Linked DNA regions of Elephas maximus indicus. The main gene of each other region encodes a partner of the protein of the gene in region 3 in a complex. Links are inferred from orthologs where the notes say so. Each region holds a gene or a part of one and is shown on either strand. Other genes may lie near its edges. The genes, in order: CDH5, PRKCZ and PARD3.

Region 1 (7,965 bases), on a different chromosome or scaffold from region 3:
GATGCCTCATCTGTAAAGAAGGCAACCACAGCTGCCTCCGTGGACAGGACATTTAAAGGAGATCCTGGGTGGGAATCCAGGCATGCAGTAGGTCCTCAGTAAGTGTGTGGCCGTCTCCACCTTCCGTCTCCCCATCCCCTGCAGCCTGGGAGCTGTGGGCTCCACTGGTGGACTTACACCCAGCCCCATTTCCTGATTCTGCCCTGGGCCCACCTCCTCCTTCCCTCTATTCCTCTCCAGAAGGAAATCTCATTCACCGCCTGCCTGGCCCTCCCCCGACCCTTCTGTAGGCCCACTTCCCTCTCCTTCTAGTATCTGCACCTGCCAGGACCTGACCATTCCCACCAAGGCCCGAGGCAGACAGTCTAGGGGTTTCTGAGTGACCTTAAGGACAATTGCCCTAGAGAGATTGGAAGACTAAGACTCAGAAAGCAGAGGGGCTCACAGCACCTAGGGTTCCTGCTCTTCCTCCAGCAAGCCTTCTGTGATTTCTCTACCCAACCCCAGCTTGGCCCTGGTTCAAGGCAGGTTTTCACTATCTCCCCAGCCAGAAGCCAAGCTTCCGAGTGCAGGGCCTGTCTGCTAGAACATTACTTCCCTAGGAGTATCAGGCCATTGGCTTGTCCTTGTGCCGAGTCTGTCACTCAAACTGTCAGGGTCATTCCTCTTGGTCTTCCCCTCTCTGAACTTCACTATGGAGTGTGGCATGGGCTGTGGGGTCAGAAGGGGCTGGGTCTCACTCATATCCTGCTTCCACCTCATAATAGCCATGTGACCTCAGACTGGCTGCTCAGCTGCTCTTGGCCTCGGTTGTCCCACCTGTCAAATGGGAGTATCTGTAGCAGCTGCAGAACTGCTGAGGGGCTGCAGAGAGGTGATGGGTGTAGCAGGGATGGGTCCATGTTAGGTGAAGGGCCTGAGATTTTTCCTGGGCTGGTGGCTATTGTGCCCACTGTGTGTCCCCAAGGCAGCAACAGAGCTGTGAGTCATTCGACTTGGGAGAAAATCAGTGTGGCCCCCTCTGGCTTCCTGCTTTCATGTCCGGCCCTTGTTCAGCTGCACAATTGCTTCAGACGGGTGGCTTAACCCCTTCAAGGCCAGTAGACCCTCCCCCCCAGTAAGCCAGAATAGGTGGGGCTGCCTGGGGGTTCAGCAGCTCTTGGACTCTCGGAGGGTCATCTGCTGCCCTGCAGACTGGGGCCCACAGGCAGGCTGGACACAGGCCAGATAGGGGAAACAGGGCTCCCCGCTGCCTACGGGTGAACCAAAGCTACTGTGCTGGTACTCATATCACCGGCCCTCCTGCCCCTTCTGCCGCTCCCTGTATAAAGCCCTCCGGCTGCACCAGCCTGTCTAGGTCCTCTGCCTTGCATCCCCAGGATGCCCTTTGTGTCCCGTTAGAATCCTATCTGCCACCACACAGGGCAGAGGTCCTGCCCTCTCACCTCCACTGGGGTCAAGCACAGTGCCCAGAAGTTTGCAGGTGCCGACAAGTGCTCCCCAAAGCAATAACTGACTTGGTGCCCCCTCACTTCCACCCACTCCCTCTTACTTGGGGGGCTCCTGAACCATCCATGATGGGGCCTGGGTTCAGTCTAGTGGCCTCGAACTGTGCTCAGGCGCTCAAATGTTCGTGACATTCACAGTCACGGTCAGCCCTGGGGTTGCAGGGAAATCAGCCACAATTCCTGAAGGATCTCCCTACTTGGAGCCATTCCCAGTGCCAGATGTGGACACCACTCACCTCATTTAATGGGCTCATGAAAAGACTTTTCCTCCATTTTACAGATGAGAAGACAGAGATAAGAAGCCATGTGGTGCTGCATCAGATCTCCCACCAGCTCTTACGGAACTCCTCCAAATCTCAGTTGTTGCCACAGAGAAATGGAGAAAGACTATCCCTACCTTGTGGTGCTGTTGATAATGGTAAAATAAGAAGCCCCATTGCCTAAGAAGTTTCTATGCGCGGAACTCCAGGTCTCACAATGAATTGCAAAAATATTTGCTATCCCCATTGTTCAGACAAGCAAACTGAGGTTGCCACTGGTGAGTAAGTTTCCAAGCTCACATAGGGAGTGAGCGGTAGAGCCAGGGCCTGAACCCAGGATGGCTGGCTCCAAGCTGAGCTCTGCCCCAGACCGCCTGTTCTCCAGGCTGTCCCAGGGGGCTGCCCTCAGATGTAAGGACCCTGGGTCCTTCCTGTCCAGCCTGTGGGTGTGTGGGTGTTGGGGGACAAAGGATAGGCCATTTTCCTGACCACAGCTCCACAGTGCATAGGGAATTCCCATAGACAGCACCCCACGTGCCCAGAGCTGAGGTTAGGCCTCAGTGTGCCTATCCTGAAACTGGGGCTTTGGCTGACAGAGAGGGCACAAGGCTCAGAGCTCCTTTCTGGCCTCCTTCCCTGAATTTCAACACAGAGCTCAGCTGTGGTTGGGGTGATGTCAGGCCTCGATGAATCTGCTCCCATGGGGTAAGGGGCACTGAGGGGGAGCCAAGGCGTGGGTGCCAATCCTCTGCCCTTGGTGTGCTGGGTGATTTGGAAAGAATCTTGCCCTCTCTGAGACTGGCACAGACGGAAACCAGTGGGCCTCTGAGGCTCGGTGGGCCCTGGGGTTACACTGAGCTGGAGAGTCCATTTGTGGGACAGTCGAGCTCTCACCTTCTCACCCAGCCTGAGAACCCCTGTTTCTGCCCTGCGACAGCACCTCTGAGTGTACTTTCCCCAACTACGCTGAGCAGGGGGAGGCCCATTCTACACCACAGGAGCAGTTCTCCCTTGGGAGCCTGACACGGCCATTCTAGAGATGGGGAAGCTGACGACCCTCCCTTCTTGGGCATATGGCGGTGGGTCTGAGGTACAATGGGGTGTGGGGACCCTCACTCACCGTGCCTGTGGGCTTCTGTTCCGTCACGCTCTCTGTCCAGGGCTGAATGTGGTGTGGAGCTCTGTGCAGCTCGGCTGTCTGACTCTGGGGCAGGGGGAGCCACACCCAGCCAGCAAGGGAGGCCTGGCTGCCGCCCCTTCAGGTTTTCCTGTTATTGTTCCTTTGTGAGGGCCGGGCCGATTGCAGATAGGCAGGTCCCGAGGTGGGCGGCCACCTCGCCCAGATAGGCTGTCCACATGGAGGCCTAACTCTGGACCTGGCTGAACTCGAACCCTGACTCCAGACCTCATCCCTGGGCCCCTGAGCTCAATATCTCAAGGGCCTAGTCCGTGGGGGCCCCTGGACCTACACCACCCATTGTAACCCTGAATGAAAATGTTATTACCCACATTTTACAACCCAGGAAACTGATGCCCAACAAGTTTAAGGCACTTATTCACCTAGCAAAGCAGCCCTGGTGGTGCAACGGTTAAGCACTCTGCTGCTAACTGAAAGATTGGGGTTTGAACACACCAGTGGCTCCATGGGGGAAAGACCTGGTGATCTGCTTCCGCAGATGACAGCCAAGAAAACCCTATGGGGAAGTTCTACTTGTCACACGGGGTCACTATGGGTTGGAATCGACTCAATGGCACCTAAAAACAGCCACAACAACATTCAATTAGCAGGGCTGTAGCAAAGCCAGAAATCAAGCCTCAGTCCACCTGGCCCCCCGTGACCCTGTGATATACTGGGGTGCTTGGGGAGCAGATTTATAGGTGATGGGGAGGACGGAGGGACCCTGGGGGTGGGTTGGGTGGGGAGAGGGGAAACAGCCATTCTTGGCTTAAGGGGACCAGATGAGCTTCTCCCTAGTGGGTGTGGGCGTGAGGGGGTTCCAGCTCTAAGGAGCCAGTCTGAATTGTGGGATTTGGTTGGGTATCAAAATATCGGGCAGGGATCCAGGTGTCCTGCCTCTGTTTTTGTTGTGATGGTTAACCAGTCGTGTCCTTCCTTGAGCCTCAGTTTCCTCATCTGTAAAATGGGGATAATCATAGCCTTAACCTCACAAGGCTGTTGAGGTAAAGAAAAGTCAGTGAGGTGCTTGGAAGATAGTGGAGCAAAAGGTGGGCCCAGAACCTGTGACAGTCAAGAAGCTGGGAAGGGAGGTTCAGATTCTGTCACTCATGGGGGTCACCTGGGGAGCTTTCAAAAACTATCGATACCTGGGCCTCACCCCAGACCAGCAGATCTGGGATCCCCCAGGGCAGGGCCTGGGAGTCTGTCCTTTACATAGTTGCCCTTGTTTTTCCATGGATGAATGGTTGGGAAGTCCATTATACAGCTAGGCAAACAGAGGTCCCAGAAAGGGAGGGCCTTGCCCAAGGACACTCACTAAGTTCGTGGACACCTGTATGGAGGTGGAGAATGGGGTGGAAGAATATATATATATATATATTTATTTGGTGGAGGATAAGGATTTCTCTGTTTGGGCAGGCTAGGGTTGAGATGCCAATTAGAACCCAAGTGGAAACATCGAGTTGGCCATGGCACAGCCTGGACATGACTTCTGGAAGCCATGAACTAACAGCTGGCTCCTGGGGCCACGGGAGTGGACAAGCTGACAGGGAGAGAGGCCCCCAGGCCTCAGACAGCAGATCTGTTAGAAGAGGAGGGTCCAGCGAGGAAGGGGGGAAAGCAGGAGAGGGCAGGGCCATAGGGGCCAAGCAAGAAGAGAGAATGTGGTCTGCTTGGGCCCAGGGAGGGCCAAGCCTTGACCAGTGGCTTTGGAAGAGGCCATCCATGACTTTGACCAGAGCAGCTGAATGGAGAGGAGCAAGTAAGGGAGCCTGGGGAGGGAATTCGTGAGGGGCGTGTGGCAGTAGAGGTGACAGCTCCTTCCCAAGCCTTGTAGTGAACGGGAGCGGAGAAATGGGAGGGTTTTTTTGTCTTTAAGCTGATGGCCAAGGCAGCATGTTTGTGTGTTCAGAGCACATCCAGCCATGGGAAGACAGATGATGCTGGAGAGAAAAGGGAGACCTGCTGGAAGGAGAACAGTCCTCGAGGTGGGACTCGAGTGGATCCAGCACATTCCATCATTCATTCCATCATCGTTGGCAGAATAAACAAACAACAGCTCAGCGTTTCCTCCTCCACAGGATTAACCCTGCCTTTTCCTGCCTGGGCAAACACTGGTGGCTTAGTGGTTAAGTGCTCTGGCTGCTAACCAAAAGGTAAGCAGTTCGAATCCACCAGGTGCTCCTTGGAAGCTCTATGGGGCAGTTCTCCTCTGTCCTATAGGGTCGCTATGAGTCGGAATCGACTCTATGGCAATGGATAACGGTAATAGGTAATTTCCTGCCTGGAGCCTGGGTGGCTGCAGGGGAACCAGAACAGGCCAGTGCCCTGTTCTTCTTTACCCAAGGTCCTAGGTGCCCAGCCAGCTCCCCTCACCCCGACTGTGCTGAGTATCTGTCCTCATTGACTACGTGCCCCAGGGACCTGCCCAGCCTGAGCATCACTTCCTGCTGGGTCTCAGACTCAGTGCTGGTGGCAGAGGGAGACAGTCCCTGTCTGGCACCATCTGTCAATTCCCTTTGTACTCCCAGTCCGTGGGGAAGTGACTCTGCCCTGAAAACTTGCCCTTCATTCCTGTTGGCTGTAAACTAGGACAGGGCCAGGCAGGTTCATGCCTTCAGGCCCTGGGGGTGGGGGTCCAGGCCACAAGAGGGGAAGCTAGTACCCCTCAAGGCCCACCGAAGATCCCAGGCCCAATTTCTGGCACTGTCCAGCCCCTGGCCCAACCCCTCTCGAGGCCAAGGCGGTAACAGGAGGGCATGTGATCAGGAAGTGCCATCAGGAGCAAAGGAGGCAGCCAGCAGCAGGCAGGAAACGGGATGGTCTGCGAGACCCGATTAGCAACCGGAGAAGGAAGCAACAATGTGGGCTGTGTGTGTGTGTGTGTACGTGTGTGTGTGCAAGGACAGGTGCCCACCCAGTCTGTGCCAGGACAAAAGCTGATCGGGGAGGGGGCCCTGTGATGCCCTGCTTGGAGAGGGACAGGCTTGGGGATTGGCAGACCCAGGTTCAAGTCCCACCATGGTCCATCACTGGCTGTGCGTCCTGGGGGAGCTGACTTAACCTCTCTGAGCCTCTTTTCTCAGCCGTGAAATGGGTTATCAGTTCATACTGTGCAGGGCTGTCTGGAGTATCATCAAGGCAACGAAGAAAATGACGGTCACAGCATTATTGGGTGGGCTGTGGTCAGGATGGGGAACCATAGGCCACCGTGACCGAGGATGTGGTCAGGGAGGTGGTGGGCTGAGGAGTTAAGGGCAGCCTCTCCTTGGCCAGGAAGGACCAAGGTTGAGCAGAGACTGAATTGCCGACAGTGAGAACAATGCCTTATGTGGGGGCCCTGGGAGGGAGAGAGAGAGGCGGCTGAGCACTTTCCCAGATGTTTCTCACTTTCCTTTTGCAACATCCTGGGAAGGCTGCTGGGGCAATGGTGCTGAGTACTGAGTAGTGGGGGGCTGGGGAGGTCTGGGGGTGGGGGAGATATGAGGGTTATGTGCTGGGGCACATCCGGCCTCTGCCAATTACAGCCCGGCTGAGCCTGGACATGCCACATGGCCCGTGGTGCCTTAGTTTCTCCTTCTGTAAAATGGGAGTGATTGCAATGCCTTCCTCATGGGAATGCTGGAAGGAGTGATTGAGAAGATGAACCTAAAGTATATAGAACTGACTCCAGTACACAGTAAGTGCCCAATACATGTTAGTCATGACAATGATGCCACAGAGATGTTGACAGTGGGGCACAGGCAAGGGTGTGAGCATGGGCATGGCGTGTGCTTGTGGGGCAGCTGTGTGGCTACGTGTGTGTGTAAGGACATACACGGAGTATGTAAGGCAACCCATGATGTGACTGTGTGTGTGTGGTATTCCCGAGTATAGGAGGGGCCTGGGGAGTGCAACCAGGGCCAAGGGAGGGCCAGGCCCCGGGGCAGCACCTTTCTCCTCCTTTGTCTGGGATCTCTGTCCCATTTCACTCAGTGACCAGCACTCCCTCAGGGATGCAGAGGGGGCAAAGCCTGGCTTGGGGCTGCCCAGCAAGCCCAGCAGGGCAGGATGGGACCAAGTTCCCCAACTCCCTGTCTGGAGGGCAGGCCTGAGTCTGGTAGGAGCCTGGCCCTGCGGAAGCCAGGACTTCCTGTCTCCAGTCCCCACATTCCTTGCATCCTGTCAAAGTGTCCCAGGGAACAATGGGTGGGAGCCTTGGCCATCTGCGGGGCAGGAAGGTGGGTCAGGGGCCACCCTGTCCTGTCTCTTGATGGGGCAAACACACCAGCTCCAGCACTAGCTGTGAGCTTGGCGGCGCAGTAGCAGGACCAGAACCAGGTGAGCCCAGGACGTCTACCCCTGCCTGCCTGGGTCCCGGAGCCATAGCTCCTTGTCTTCTCTGTCTCAAAGACAAGCTTTTTCCAGGCCCCTCAGCACACACTGCCCCCTTGTCCTGAGGTAGGTTTTATGCACAAAGTCCAGCTAGGGGAGGGGGAATCTGAGCTGGTCATTGGAAGGATCCTGCCCAGGGAGAAACCAAGGCATATTGGCGGGAACCCATCACTCAGGCTTGTGGAGGCCTTGAGAGTTCTCCAGGCTCACCTGCCCAGCCTGCTGCTGAGAATCAAGAGGAAAGCAAGAGGTTCTGACCCAACAAAATAAACCCTCCCCAGTCCCTGTGCTAAAGCTCCCTTCTCGTAGGGCCATGTCAGATCCCGTTAACTCTTCCTTTACACACAGTCCTGACAAGCTGCTTCTCTAGGCCAGAGGGCACAGAGGTGAGGGCAGTGATCACAAGCTCTGCTACTGCCTGCTAATCAGTGTTTCTTGCCTTGGCTTTCTTATCTGTGAAATGGTGGTGACTGTCCACACCCTGTCTGAGAGGGCCACATGAGAAATGGATCTCCAAGAACTTTGGAGACTCTGAAGCCTGCCTCCTCCTCTGGCCTGTACCTATGCCATTAAGCCCAGCCGAGGCCAAAGGCAACAATATAAAAGGGGAGAATTGGAAGGAAAGAGGGAGCCCCAGGAGGGGGTA
Region 2 (7,759 bases), on a different chromosome or scaffold from region 3:
GGAAACTCTCTGAGCTTTCAGGTACCGCTGGACCCCCCTGCTGAAGGAACTGGGGAGGGGGGGTCAAGCTTCTGGAGGGTACCCAGGGGGGCCATCACCATGCGGATGGCTGAAAAACACTCCCTTTTTTAAGACCAGCGTCTCTGAGGTGTACCATCCTCAGCTCCTGACTGTGGAGCCCCACAGCAGTGTCCCCAGGACACCTCCATCCCAGTGGCAGCCTCTCACCTGGTGGCCACCTCATCTTGGTGGGCACTTTCCAGAACACTGCAGTAGCTGAGCTCTGGTACCGGGTCTCCCCATCCCCAGTGCCCCAGGTCTCAGAGTTTCCAGTCCCCAGAAAGAGACACCAAGGCAGAAGCTTTAGGAGAAGCAGGTGCTGGGAGGGCTGAAGTGGCTGGGATTGGGGAAGGCCTCAGGCAGAAAGGAGAAGGGAGAAGAAAGTGGGTAGAAAGGGACAGGGAAGGGAGAGGGGGAACCTGGAGGATAGTCGAGAGGAAGAATGGGAAAAGGGAGAGAGGGGAGAAGGGAGGAGAGGACTTAGGGAGATGAAGGGGGGATGAGGAAGAGGAGAGGGAAGAGGAGAGAAGGAAGGGGCTTGAGAGTGGAGAGAGGAACTAGAAGGGGCTGGGGAGGGGAGGGGGAGGGGACGGGGTGAAGGAAGAGGAAGGGGGCGTGGCCTTCTCAGCCTTGAAACTGGAGTCAGCAGGTCTCATTACAGGGTGCTTAGAAACCAAAGCGCTCCCCAGGGGCCTGAAGCGCTGGGATGGGGTGGGCAGGAGCTGCTGCAGCACTCAGCTGAGAAATCCCTGGGGCACTGCCCTCCAACTCTGCCCAGGACTACTTGGGTGCCTGTGTCTCATCTCTGTGCCAGCTGAACTGGTCCTGACGAAAGACTCAAGGTCTTGCATGCCCCATGGTGGAGGGGCAGCTCCGGAGTGGATGTGTTCTCATCATGGTGCGCTGGGTCAACCCTCTGCTCCCGCTAATTTTTAAAAATGTTACTTGTTGCTAGATCTGCGGGATCCTTCTGTCTGTGTCCTTCTATAGGGTCATTATGAGTCAGAATCTACTCCATGCTGGGTTTGGTTTTCTCGCTGGGAAGGGGCAGCCTCTCGGACCTCTGATGAGACATTCAACAGAGAGCTTAAGAACCAGGAGAGCCAGGACGCTGGACAAGTCCCAGGGCCAGAACTTCGACATTTTAATCAGCCCCCACTCTCTGGGGTCAGATGACAGCACCTTCTGACCTCTCAGGGAGCTACTGGGCCAGGCCCTCCCCAAGAAAACTTCCTTCTTGCTCTGTAGCCACCAACGCCCCTCCCACAAACTTTCAGGTGCCCAGGCTGAGGCCAGCAGAAGAGACGGGGGTTAGCAAGTGGCCTCAGAGAAGAGATGAAGACCACGGAGTCTGGACAGCAAACCTGGGGCCAACTCGCCCTCGGGACCTGACTAGAGACCAGAAGAGGCTGCGCTCAAGGTCAGGAGTCGGCAGGCCCTTCTCCAGGTGCGGGAATCACGGACCCCCAAAGGGCTACCCAGGACGGGGCCCGGCCTCGGGAAGAAGCCACCCCTCGCTCCCAGGCCTCCATGGCCTGAACCTGCTGCCACCGCCCTGAAGCAAAGGGAAGCTGCTAAAGCCGGACTACCAGGTTCACCGACTTGGGCAAGGCCGGCCCTCGGCTTGGCTCCACTTCCCTCCCGACATGGAGAAGCACCTCCGGGAGCTCCCAGGTTCGAGCTCCGGGCTCCTGGAGACAGATCCAATGCGCCCACTCCTCCCTCACCCGGTGTCCCCGCCGCGCGGAAGGCGGCGGTGGGATCCATTTGCCATGCCACGGAGCCCGGCAATCTGGGCACAATGCCTCTTCACTCCGCCAGGGGCTGCCCAGCGCCAGGGGCAGCCCTTTGACCCGCGCTCGGTCACCGACCTCTGTGAGGCGCCCACTAGTCCCATTTCAGAGACCCAGGTCGAGTCCAGGCCGTCCCAGGCGGACGAAGACGCGAAAGTCTTGTCTGCTGGAAAGGCCCCCAACAGACCGCGCCTCGGCCCGCCAGGGTCCCTCGGTTCTCGCACTCATCTGCACGCTCGCTGCACCTGTCTTCACCGGCCGTATTACACTTTTTTTTTTTTTTTAACTGAGCTGTCCCGTAAACTATGGAGAAGTTTAGAAAATCGCGATCTTTTTTAAACTTCCAGAAGTGTTCACAATTCTATAAAAATTTTAGCCCTTAAAGGTTTGTAGGCTAATGTCCATAGCCAAATTTCCACTGGAAATGTCAACAGCAATGTGGCCAGGTTGCCAGACTCCCAGCAACGCCAGCTTCCCCCGCCCCTGCACTCGCCCCGCGGGGTCCTCCGGCCAGTACGAGTCGGTAAAGCCCAAGTGCTGGAGCGCGGCGCCGGCACGGCGCGGACCCGGGGCGGCCAGGGACCCGCCTTCGCCCAGCAGCGCTCTCTAGCCGGGCTCCGCCATCCGGAGCCAGGCCAACCCCGCCCTGTCCGCTAGGCTCCCGCGGGTGACGTTCCAGAGCTCCCGGGGCCGCCTCTCGGCGCTGCCCGTCGGGACCTCCCGGGATGCACCTGGGACCGAAGGGCCTCGCTGTCCTCCCGCATCGCGGCCGCAGCTCCCGGCCCGGGGTCGGCAGGGGCTTCTCCGGCGGTCTCCGCGCCCCGACCGCCGCCCGCTCGCGCTCCGACTCCTCCAGCCGTCGGGGCGCGAACTCACCCGCTATAGTGCGCCTTCAGGCGGACACGGCAGCCGCTCCCGTCCATGTTGGCGCCGGTCCGGCTCGGCATGGCGCTCCCGACGGCCGTCAGGGCCGCGCCTCGGGTGGTGCGGGCGCTCGGGCCATGGCTGGGGGCGCACCTGGCCGGGGGCGCAGCAGTGCCAGGTGTGGCCAGCGGCGGAACGCGGAAGGGAGTGCGCGGCGCGGGACGAAGGGACGCGCCGCCGACGGACGCTGGCCCAGCCAACTCTGCTGGAACTTGGGCGCGGGGCGGGGATGGGGGCGCGGCCGGGCGGAGGCGCGCGGCCGAGCGGCAGCGCGCACGAAGTGCGGGCGTCAGGGGCCCACGGGGGCGGGGGTCCGAACATGGCCGACCCGAGACCGAGCCGGCGACCAATCGGCGGGGCGCGGTCGTCCCGGGGCGGGGGCGGTGGCACCTGCGGCCAATGAGGGCGCCGGCGGGCGGCCACCTGAGCCAATCCTCGGGGGATTCCGCGGCCGCGGCCCAATCGCCGCGGCGCAGGACGGACTACCTGTCGGGCGGGGCGCGGCCCCACCTGCGGCCAATGGGAGCACGCGTGGCCCGGCTCTGCCCGGCAACGTGAGACTGGGGGCCGGGCTGGAGGGGCCTGAGAGCCCCCTCGGCGCCAGGCTCCTCCGGGAAACGGGCGCCTCCGGGAACTTGTTGGAAATGCAAGTTCTCGAGCCCCGTCCAGACCTATGGAATCGAAACTCCAGCAGTCGGGGTTAGCAAGCCTCAGGACCCCCCGGGTGTTGCCGCCGGTCTAAGGAGCAGCGGGGAGCGGTGCGCCGGTGACATGTTTTAAACGCAGTGGTCAATTCTCAGGCTTTTTTTTTCCAACAGGTCCCTTCTAGAAACCCTACCTTCCCACCGCTCCTGCTGCTCTTCCTCTCGCTCCTCCTGGTCTTCAGCTCGTGAACGGTGCCTGATCTCGGACTCTTCTCGGGCCCTGCAGCTTCTCGTATAGGCTTCTTGTTATATGCCCTACAGTCGATTCCGATTCGTAGCAACCCAGTAGGACACAGTGGAACTGCCCCGTAGGCTTAAAAAAAACCCCAAATACCATTGCAAGGTTTCAGCGCTCTCCTGAACTCCAGACTATGTCAAACACCTGATACTCTTGCCTCTTACATCCCTCATCACGCCATCTGCAAAATATTTCCAGAATCCAGACACTGCCCATCACCTCCATTGCTACCACCTGGTCCAAGCCGCACCTTTGCCTGGATTATTGCAGGAGCCTCGGACTTCGTCCCATGCCCCACCCCTCCCCCCACCCCAGTCAGTTCTCCACATGGTAGCATCAGAACCCTCTTAAAACATAAATCAGGCTGTGTCCATCTCATATTCAAGCCCCCCCCACCTGGTTCCCATCACACTGGGAGGAAAAGCCACCTCTTTATGTGCCCCCTCCCTACCATGCCCTACAGTATCCAGACGCTCATCTCCCCCACCTCATCGTGACTTACTCCACTCCAGCCTCCTTGCTGCCCCACCTCAGGGCCTTTGCAGTGGCAGTTCCCTCTGCCAGGAGCACCCCTACAAGGCCAAAACCCACAGGTAATTTGAGTCTCTTCCTAATGTCCCCCCTCCTCCGGTCTTCTCAGCTGGGCGCACTGAGCTCCATCCCTGTAGGTTGGGGGTGAAAGGGTGCAGAGGCCGTCATGAGAGGGGAATCAGCTGAGTGCACCAGTGAAGGGTGCCCAGCCAGGAGGGGTCAGTAAGCCCAGCTTCCGTGCAGGCCTCTGGCTTCCTGCCTCAGGGACACTGGAACAAAGCTTGCCCAGGCAAGGAAGGAGGGTAGAGAGGTCAGGGAGAAGCCCTGGCCTGAGGCTCACCTCCCACTGCAGGCAGGTAGGCCCCCTCCATTCTAGTTCTTGGACACGCCCTCCCAAGGCCCCACCCAAACCCAAAGGCCATACCTTTCCCAGAAGGCGTTTACCAATAGGAAGCCGTAGCTGGGGTGAGACCTCCAGATGGGAACTCTGTCCTGGAAGGTGGCTCCTGGGCCACTGCCAGCCCCCATCCTCATGGGACAAAGCTAGAGGAGGATAGAAGCTGCCTGACCTGGGCACCATGGGGAGGGTTCAGATCCGTGGAGCCCCCAGCTGGGTGCCACAGTGGGAGGTTGACGGACCGTTAGTGACCCTGAAGTGGCTGTGCTCTGCGGGGTTAGGGGAGGGGAGAGGGGGTCAGGAGCCTATTCCAGGTGGGAGGCCTCACTGGGAGGTACCTTCCCCTCTTCCAGGGCTTGCTGACTGTAGCCCCTCCCCCCCTCCACACACACTCCTAGCTAGCCCTCTTCCTCTGCTGCCCTCTGGCCATGTCCAGCCCCCAGCTGGGGTTAGATCCAGTCAGTGGTCCCACAGGCTCCGGCGGGGTGGGGCTGGGGGTTTGCTGGGGTCGTTTGCCCGCCCATCCCTAGACATTTCTTCCTGGGGGCGGTATCTGACATCTGCTTTCCTCAGCAGGCCAAACCGTCCTGTCATCCCACTCCAGGGAGGGAGGGTGAGCCCTGGGGAGTTTCCCCGGGCCCCCCAGTGCCGAGCCTTTGGCCCACACCCATTAGGGCCCCAGGCAGACGGACAGACCAGTAGGTGTCCAGCCCAGGGGCTTCAGGGTTCCTGCAAGCGGCGCCATGGCGAAGCCTCACAGGGTATCTGCTTCCACGTTCACCAACCACTCTCCTCGGGTGTCAGCTGAGGGTGGGGCTCTGTTCGCCTGGGACCCCTCTGGATCCCCTGCCATCTCCGCAGACATCTGACAAGCAGTGGAATGAACAGATGCATGAATGAGTAGGTAAACGGGTCCTCCTGAATGCTGGAACCTGGTAGGCCTCCTAGGACCTCAGGCCCCAGGGCTGGGGAGGGAGAGGGTAGCCGACTAGAGCCATTTCCACCCAAAGGGAACCCTGAGTGTGACCCTCAGGAGGGGTGACCTACCCGAGAGGGTCGATGGGGAGGAGACAGGTTACAGTCCTCGCACCCCGCCTCACCGCACCCAGTGTACCCGTGTCACGAAACCGAGCCCCTGTGCGCCCAGGCCTGGCCAGGTCCTGGAGGGGGAACCTGCCACTCCTCGGCCCCCGCCCCTTCTCTGCCCCCAGGGCGGTGCAGGCAGTCAGCGATGAGAAGATCACATCTGCAGGGAGGCGAAGACTGCGGAGTAAAAACGGGTGTAGAGGACGCAGCCTCCTGGGATGGAAAGTTGAGATGAACCCCCAAAGGAGGCGCAGGCAGGTCGAATGCAGAGCCCTGGGGAGGATCCGGGAGGGTCATTTTCTCCTCCAGACATTTCTGCAGTTCCCAAGTTTCCCACAAAGACGTCATATTTTGTAATCACTAACACCTGTTGGAAACCCGAGTGGCATAGTGGTTAAGTGCTACAGCTGCTAACCGAAATGTCGGCAGTTCAAATCCACCAGACACACCTTGGAAACTCTATGGGGCAGCTCTGCTCTGTCCTATAGCGTTGCTATGTTGGAATCAACTGGACAGCAGTGGGTCTGGTTTTGGTTTGGAACACCTGTTAGCTCCAAATAGAAAAAAAAAATACTTTTTTAACTGATTATGGAAGTAACACAGGCTTGGTATAAAACCTCAACAGCACTGAAGAGCAGAGAGGTGGGAAGCCCCTTGGCCCCGCCCCCTCAGGAGGCCAGCCAGGCCTGGTTCCAGCCCCGGCGTTCCCCAAGTCCACCTGCAGAAGGGTGCTGCACTGAAGTGGAGAGCCCTGGTGGCGGCAGAGGACACAGGGCCTTGGCCAGCCCCTGGGAGTGTGGCTGTGGAAGGTGGTATTGGTCACCATCTGATTTTCTTTTGTAAAGGGCCGGGTGATGATCCTTTCAAAGGACTTGGAGATTCTTTAGATGAGAGAATGCACACAGTGTTTATGCTCCAGGTGACTCAGCAGACAGGCCTGTGGGGACCAGGGACCTCTCCATGACCCCAATGCCTGGTTTCCAGAGCCACCTTTCTCACTGAGGCTGGTGGACCTACACTGGGCCAGCTCATGGTGCAGACTGTCCAGGAAGAGGGCTTGCTGAGCCACTGGGGTCAGGCATGTTATCCCTCCAGGTGTGGGCTGACCCAAGGGTCACAGGAAGAGCATAGAACACTTGCCAACAGGCCTTGGCACACGCAGCTGTGGGACGAGATGGGGGAGCAGATGTTTCCCTTCTTTATCACGGACCATGTAGTTTGGAGAAACTGAGTTGGTATAACAAACATTCACTGCACTCATTCATTCATTTGGCTAATGTTTATTTTGGTTCCCTCCGCCCCCAACCCCGACACACTCCAGGCCTCCCTCTGCTTATCATTTGCTCCCCTGTCCCTCCCACAGCTGAGTGAGCTGCATCTGCTTCTCCAGGGTATACATCAGTTCTGGCCCAGGCGACTCAGCAAACATCTCTACCCAGCAGGCTGACTTTCACCATTGCCGTCAAGGCCAGATATGTGTGTGTATGTGTGTGAGTGTCTGTGTGTGTATGTGTGTGTGTTGGAGCATCTCTGTGTGATGTGTGTACCTGTGTGTGTTGGAGTACCTATGTGTGCATGTGCATGTGTGTACTGGAGTATCTCTGTGTGCATGTGTGTACCTGTGTGTACTGGACTATCTGTGTATACATGTGTGTACCTGTGTGTATTGGAGTATCTGTGTGTGCATGTGTGTACCTGTGTGTACTGGAGTATCTGTGTGTACGTGTGTGTACTGGAGTATCTGTGTGTGCATGTGTGTACATGTGTGTACCTGTGTGTACTGGAGCATCTGTGTGTGCATGTGTGTGTATCTGTGCACAAGCGTACCTCGTTTTGTTGCACTTTACTTTATTGAGCTTCGCAGATACTATATTTTTTACAAATTCCAGGTTTGTGGCAACCCTGTGTTGAGCAAGCCAATCAGTACCATTTTTCCAACAGCATGTGCTCACTTCATGTCTCTGTGTCACATTTTGGTAATTCTCACAATGTTTCCAACTTTTTCATTATTTTTATCTCTGTTGTG
Region 3 (6,965 bases):
ACTTTGTATACTGCACAACTCACGTTAAAACCGAACTACCGAACTATGCATCGCACTTGAAGAGCATTTAAATAACTCTGGGAACCCCTGAATCATTGTTGACTTCTCCATCTCATCCATATCCAACCCCAGTGCTGTCGTCACCCTTCCTTCCACCTTACCCTTCAGAACTCAGCAACATGCCTTTTCTCTTTGGTGAAGACTTGCCAGGCAGGCTCCCTTAAGAAAACTGCACTGCTTCTGCCCGGCCAGGTCACTGTGAAGCATTGATCACTAATATTCAAGAACAAGGTTCAGATCTATCACCAACCAAAAAACTCAAACCCACTGTTATCGATTCCAACTCACAGCGACCCTATAGGACGGAGGAGAACTGCCCCATAGGGTTTCCAAGGCTGTAAAACTTTCTGCAAGCAGACTGCCATATCTTTCTCCTCCAGCGGCTGGTGGGCTCGCCCTGCCAACCTTTTGCTTAGCAGCTGTAACAGGTCTATCACCAAGGCCTCTGAACTGCACTTCCTAACACATCAGACACATTCTCTTCTATCCACGCTGCTCCACACCACTACCTGCTTCACCTGGAGGACCTCAGAGCCTTTTGTCCTAGACACTTGCAATCCATTTTCTACAAAGCAGGCAGTGGGAGCCCCTGAATGGCCAGCACCCAGAATAGTGTCTTGGACATATTAAATGCCTTAAAATTTGTGTGCAATGAATGAGTAACTCAACCAGATTTTTGTTGTTTATTGACTTGTTTGGGAGATGCATTTGTATTTCCCAAGCAGGCCATTCAATCAGTGTGCACTGTGTGCATCATGAAATAAGACTAGTTTTAACGATGCAAAATGAGTAAAGTTGAAAAGAAATGCTTACCACCTGCTCCCTTCTCAGGAACCTAAGCACACTGCACGGTACACGGTACACATTATCGTATTCCTTTTTCCTTTCACAACTTATGTTGTTGGTTTTCAAAGTACATGGGCAACCATTACTGATTTAGAATACAGAGATCATAAACTGCATTCATATACAATCCTTCAAGATGCTAAATAGATTTAGAAAGCCGTTCCCTCCCCCCCCATCAGCTTTGCAAGATAAACAGATGCCCAATTTCCACTAATTTTATTTGACTTTCCATAAAAGGGTTCAACCAACTACAAGGAAGATTTTAGAGCTATTAAATAAAGTCAACATGTCAGGTTCCTAAACTCTCCCCCAAATTATCTTTAAAACACCAAATGTATGCTATTGCATTAGATTTTTTCTCAATGCGTACTTTAAAATAATGAGAAAGTTTTTTTCTTCCAAATTAATTTTAGAATTGGAAGATGCCACACTGAGCTCTGAATCCACCCTCTACACATTCAGATTGGCAAAGCCACCTTCTCCCTTATCTGCTAATCCAAAACCCACAGGAGCCAGAGCACTCCGCTATCAGGAACAAATGGGGAAAACAAAAGCCGAGATGCTTCCCACCAAACGTTACCATACAATTTCCAAAGGAAGTATCCTCAGGTGCTTGAGAGAAACTTGAGCGTGGGCCGTTGTCAGACACAGACACAGCCGATGAAACAATTTAACGAAATGCCTTTTCACTTCTGACACATTGTAGAGGAATGTAGTTACGTGGAAACAATGTTATCACTCCACGAAGAAAAAGGGAAATCTACTCGACTCCGAAATCAGGCCCTGGCTCAGCAGTGCCGGCACCACATGGAACTAGTTCCAGAAACATAAAAGCTGAGTTCCCAGCAGGAAAACTTTTAACTCAGTGAATGATTCAAGGGTGGTTCTTCTTTAAGGAGCCCTGCACCCGAGCCTCTTCATTGCGAAGAGTCTCTGCTCGGCAAACGCTCGCGAGCGATTGGGAAAGGGTGTCCCCCTTTGGGACCGCCTTCCCGACCCCAAGCCAGAGACTCTCCTCCCACCCAGCACGACCCAAAACGCGCCGGGCCACCCCTACCCGCAGTCGGTAGGGAGAAAAAGGCTCTTCACCTTGGCCCTCTTTCCCCCACTTCTCATCTCCAACACCGGAGAAAAGGAGTGGAGAGAAGCAACGCAATCCCTCTCCGTTGTATATGGAATAAATAAACTCTTCTCACACCAAAAAAAAGTTCTATTTTCCCCAGCCTTTGCCCGCAGGGCCTGAATCGGGGAAAGGCCTGGGGCTGGATTTCAACTGGCCGCAGCCACCGGCCTGGGAGAGAGGCGTCCCGCCAGGTTGGCCCCGGTGCCCTCGGTGCGTTTGATTTGGGGCTTTTGCTCCTTCTTACAGGGGCCCCAGGAGGCAGCCTGTAATTGGCGCCGGCCCGCGCGGCACTGCCCGCCTCTGCCCAGCGACCCCGCGGCGCGACCGGCCGCTGCAGCCGCGAGCCGGGAGCCCAGAGGGGCGGCGGGGGGCCGCGCTTGGCCCCGGGTGCGGGCGGGAGAAGCGCAGGGTCCGGCCACGGTGCCCGCGCTCTCGTCGCCCCCGGCCCATGGGGCGGGTCCCCGGCGCAGCCATGATGCAGTTCCCTCGGCTGCCAGTCTGCCCCATTCGCTCCGGCCGTCCCACCCGGAGCTGAAAACTTTCCAACCCGCCCGGCAACTCCGGGACAGGGAGAGCGCCGGGACCCCGGGCCAGGCGCCCGGCCCAGGCCGAGCCGGCCCGCCGCACTTTCCCTTTCCCCGCCTCTCCCCCTCGGTGTTCCCTCCTCCCCCTTTCCAGGAAGCGCCATATTGATCCCGAGCGCCTTCCCTCCTCCTCCTCCTCCTCCTCCTCCTCCGGCACTCCCTCCCCTCCCCTCCCGGCTCCGCCGACCCCCCACCCACCCCTCCAGCGGCCCCGCGCGCCCAGCCCCGGCCCCTCACCTTGGCGATGGCCTTCCTGTAGCGGGTCACCGCTTGCTGGATGAGGTTGAAAACTTTCATGTTGCCGTCTCCGCACGGCACGACCACCCGGGTCCTCCCGAAACACACCGTCACTTTCATGCTGCCGCCGCCGCGGTCCCACGCGCGCTCCCTCGCTGAGCCCTCGGCTGGAACGGCCACCCGGCCGGGGCGGCTGGACCCCCCGGGGGACGCGCGGCGGAGCCCCCGCTCGGCGGCGGGCCGAGGACGGCACCACAGGCGCCCGGGCGCAGCCGGCTGTGGCTAGGGGCGCGGGGCGGCGGCGCGGCCAGGGGGGCGCTCGGCTCGCATGCTCGGCGCCCGGAGGCCCGCGCGGCCGGGGGCTCTCGCTGCTCTCCGCGAGCCGCCCTCCGCCCTCCGCCCTCGCCTCGGCGCCCGCAGCCTCCGGCCACCTGTTCGGCGTCTCTGGCGCGCTCCGCGGCGGCGGCGGCTCAGGCTCTCCGGCGCTGGCTCTCAGTCGCGGCCGCTGGGGGAGGGGAGCGCGCAGGGGAGGAGGAGGAGGAGCAGCGCCGAGGCACAAAACACTGCTCGCATGCGGCAAGGGGGGGAGGCGCGGCGCGGGCCGCGGACTCCGCGCCATGGAGGCGGAGCGCATTGCCACGGCCCAGCGCTCACCTCGTCCCCGCCCTCCCGGAGGGGCGTGGGCGGTGGCCGGACTGCAGGGGGGCGGCTGGACCCTCCACCCCACACCCCACCGTTGCAGGCTGGGGTTTTGCTTTTCTATCCCGTTCCCTCAGCGGCGCGGCAGGAGGTAGGAGGCCGAGGCGCCGGGCGGCTGCGAGCTGGCAGCCGGGCAGCAGCCCCGTCTCACCCACCGAACCCCCAGCCCCGGCGCCGGGTCCCTCCCTTCCTAGCCCCCTTCACGCACCCGAGGACACTTCGGTACTGCACTCGGACCTTCCGGCCCCTGCTTGGGGATCGCCAGTTCCTAGCCCCCAGAGGTCTCTCCAAAACCCCCTCCCCCTTTCTTTGTCACTTTTAATCCCCCTCCTCAGCCGGGGGCGTTTCGGGTGCAATGGTTTCTATGAAAAGCAGTTTACACTCGGCGCATCAGGCTCAAAGCACGGAGATCGTTTTGAGAAGAGCAGTAACCATGTCCCCAGGAGATTGGAACGGGGCTCTGCCGGGATATTCCAGCTGAGATTTCTCCTCCCGCAGATGGATCCTGGCACCCCGAACGCCTGTCCCCGGCCCACAGCCTGACGGGGCTTCTGCTCTGGGTCGCTGCGCTGCGAGGCCAGGCAGGGATTGTTATGCATTAAAAGCAAAAATTAATCCATCTGCTGGGGGGGGCGGGGAGATTGGTGAAGCTCTGACTGGGCCGGGTCTGTCTCCTGAGGCCGCAATTTACCTTGAAGTTTCCTGCGATCCCCTGACGATCCACTCGCTTAAATACCTAGAATTGTATACATCAGCAATTCAGATAGTTTTATTTGTTTAAAATTTCTGCAACATAAACAATCCTCACGGAAATCTATGAACAATATACTCAGACTGCCTTGGGGAAAAACTGCAAAAGGATCCCAACGATGCGCTAGCGCTTAACGCAGGGACTTAAACCCCTGGCAGAGAAGGCAACAACGTAATTAGTTACATGCAGGAGATGAACAATTTAAAAGAACGTGAACCAAGTCAAGAAGAGTAACTAACTGAAGCCCATCGCTGTCTTAGTTATGAGCTATGATTTCTTAGTAACTCTGTTACTATGTTTAATGTCAGCAAAGATTCTTTGTTGACGCTAGTCTGTCCCAAATGATAGTAAATTCATTTCTGCCAGTTGTTGCTAGGACATGTAAAAGTAGTAACAGCTCCCATGAGCTCGAGTGGAGAATTTCAGCATTTGGAGCAGAAATTGCTGGTTATCAACCAATACATGAAACTCCACCAACCATTTTAAAAAAGGGAACATGACAAAATCCCTGCATTCTCCACTATCCCACACTGCGCCCACCACCTATAGTACAATTTGTTAGATAAAAACAGTACACTGCCATCTCGCAGCCCTTGACCAACGCTCTTACCTTTCTTAGCAAAACAATGCAAAACAATGTAATAAGTAGGCGTTGTGTGTCCTCATCACCATCTTACCCCAAGGTATTGACAAAGTAGTGAAGTTGCAATAAGTAGGCATTGTGTGTCCTCATCACCATCTTACCCCAAGGTATTGACAAAGTGGTGAAGTTGCTTGCCCAAGGTCACAGAGAAAGCTCCAGGCAGACCCAGAAATAGAGTCCTGGATTCCTTCCACAGTCATAGGTAAGGCTCATAACACTCCTGTTTGGCTACAACATTCAACATTTCTACACAATAGTTTGTGACAGCTATGATGGGAATTCCAGGACACTTAATTGTGCTCATGAGGAACCTTTACATAGACCAAGGGGCAGTTGTTGGGACAGAACAAGGGGATACTGATTGGTTTAAAGTCAGGAAAGGTGTGTGTCAGGGTTGTATTCTTTCACCATACCTATTCAATCTGTATGCTGAACAAATAATACAAGAAGCTGGACTATATGAAGAAGAACAGGGCATCAAGATTGGAGGAAGACTCATTAACAACCTGCGTTACGCAGATGACACAACCTTGCTTGCTGAAAGTGAAGAGGACTTGAAGCACTTATAATGAAGATCAAAACCACAGCCTTCAGTATGGATTACACTTCAACATAAAGAAAACAAAAATCCTCACAACTGGACCAATGAGCAACATCATGATAAACAGAGAAAAGATTGAAGTTGTCAAGGATTTCATTTTACTTGGATCCATAATCAACAGCCATGGAAGCAGCAGTCAAGAAATCAAAAGACGCATTGCATTGGGCAAATCTGCTGCAAAGGACCTCTTTAAAGTGATGAAGGGCAAAGATGTCACCTTGAAGACTAAGGTGCGCCTGACGCAAGCCATGGTATTTCCAATCGCATCATATGCATGTGAAAGCTGGACAATGAATAAGGAAGACCAAAGAAGAATTGACACCTTTTAATTGTGGTGTTGGCAAAGAATATGGAATATATCATGGACTGCCAAAAGAACGAACAAATCTGTCTTGGAAGAAGTACAACCAGAATGCTCCTTAGAAGCAAGGACGGCGAGACCGCATCTTACATACTTTGGACATGTTGTCAGAAGGCATCAGTCCCTGGAGAAGGACACCATGCTTGGCAGAGTACAGCACCAGCGGAAAAGAGGAAGACCCTCAAGGAGGTGGATTGACACAGTGGCTGCAACAATGAGCTCAAGCATAACAACGATTGTAAGGATGGGGCAGGACCGGGCAGTGTTTCCTTCTGTTGTGCATAGGGTCGCTATGAGTCAGAACCAACTCGACAGCACCTAACAACAACAACGATGATGACTTAACCCTTGCTGAGGTCTTTTTGTTTCTTATATTAATACTTGGACCCAGAACAATGGTTATTGATAATTATAGGTGTTGTTTCTGTTAAAATACATGGGGGGGGGCTGGAGAGGTGGGGGCAGATTATACTAATTTAGAGTTGGGCTTCCTGAAAATAATTCTAATTGAAAGCCTAGTTCAGGAACAGAGTACTTCAGACATTGCTCAGATCCATGCTCCGATCCTGATTCAATCATTCAGTAGTACCTTAGGCATGGCACTCAGCCTCTCTCCAGCCTCAAGTTTTATCGGCTGGAGAATGGAGCAGAGAATATCTATCTCATAAATCATGGGGATTAAATAAAATACTTAATACTTGCTGCCACAATATAGTTACCACAATGTAGACAAAGAGTGGCAAAGACCAGCACAGAATAGCATGTGATGATGATTACGGTGATGGTATCAGGGAAAGGACAAAAGCAAGGAGGAGCCCGAGGCTCAGAGAAATATGTGGACTGGTAATACAACTAGTCAGTGACCAGGCCTGGACCAGAACTGAGGAAGCAAGACTCGACTCAGGCTGTACTCAATTCACTTTAATTCAGTCCCACACACATTTACTGAAGACCTCCACATGGGAAGCTCTGGCTAAAAGTCATTGCCGTTAGCCGTCATGGAGTCGCCCCCAACCCATGGCAACCCTATGTGTTACACAGCAGAGCTGCTCCATAGGGT

The links.
Region 1: the proteins of PARD3 (region 3) and CDH5 are in contact, whole or in part, in an NMR structure (PDB 2KOH), measured with the Mus musculus proteins. The link is inferred for Elephas maximus indicus from reciprocal best matches to the Homo sapiens genes PARD3 and CDH5. Residues at the interface, in NP_296369.2 of Mus musculus: Ala599, Gly600, Leu601, Gly602, Val603, Ser604, Val605, Lys606, Gly607, Arg609, Lys611, Lys622, Ile625, Asn655, Gln656, Met659, Arg663, Met666; in NP_033998.2 of Mus musculus: Tyr774, Gly775, Asp777, Gln779, Glu780, Glu781, Leu782, Ile783, Ile784.
Region 2: PARD3 (region 3) and PRKCZ share a complex: the UniProt entries of both Homo sapiens proteins name them as parts of the par polarity complex. The link is inferred for Elephas maximus indicus from reciprocal best matches to the Homo sapiens genes PARD3 and PRKCZ.

Annotation. Positions count from the first base shown.
Region 1 is NC_064839.1:32,890,960-32,898,924, reverse strand, and holds the start of CDH5 (cadherin-5), read right to left. Parts: upstream 3,001-7,965; 5' UTR 2,889-3,000; intron 1-2,888. UniProt on the Homo sapiens protein: Cadherins are calcium-dependent cell adhesion proteins. They preferentially interact with themselves in a homophilic manner in connecting cells; cadherins may thus contribute to the sorting of heterogeneous cell types.
Region 2 is NC_064821.1:40,597,594-40,605,352, reverse strand, and holds the start of PRKCZ (protein kinase C zeta type), read right to left. Parts: upstream 3,069-7,759; 5' UTR 2,801-3,068; coding exon 2,730-2,800; intron 587-2,729; exon of another isoform or gene 229-586; intron 1-228. UniProt on the Homo sapiens protein: Calcium- and diacylglycerol-independent serine/threonine-protein kinase that functions in phosphatidylinositol 3-kinase (PI3K) pathway and mitogen-activated protein (MAP) kinase cascade, and is involved in NF-kappa-B activation, mitogenic signaling, cell proliferation, cell polarity, inflammatory response and maintenance of long-term potentiation (LTP).
Region 3 is NC_064822.1:8,726,419-8,733,383, forward strand, and holds the start of PARD3 (partitioning defective 3 homolog), read right to left. Parts: upstream 3,055-6,965; 5' UTR 2,971-3,054; coding exon 2,851-2,970; intron 1-2,850. UniProt on the Homo sapiens protein: Adapter protein involved in asymmetrical cell division and cell polarization processes. Seems to play a central role in the formation of epithelial tight junctions. Targets the phosphatase PTEN to cell junctions.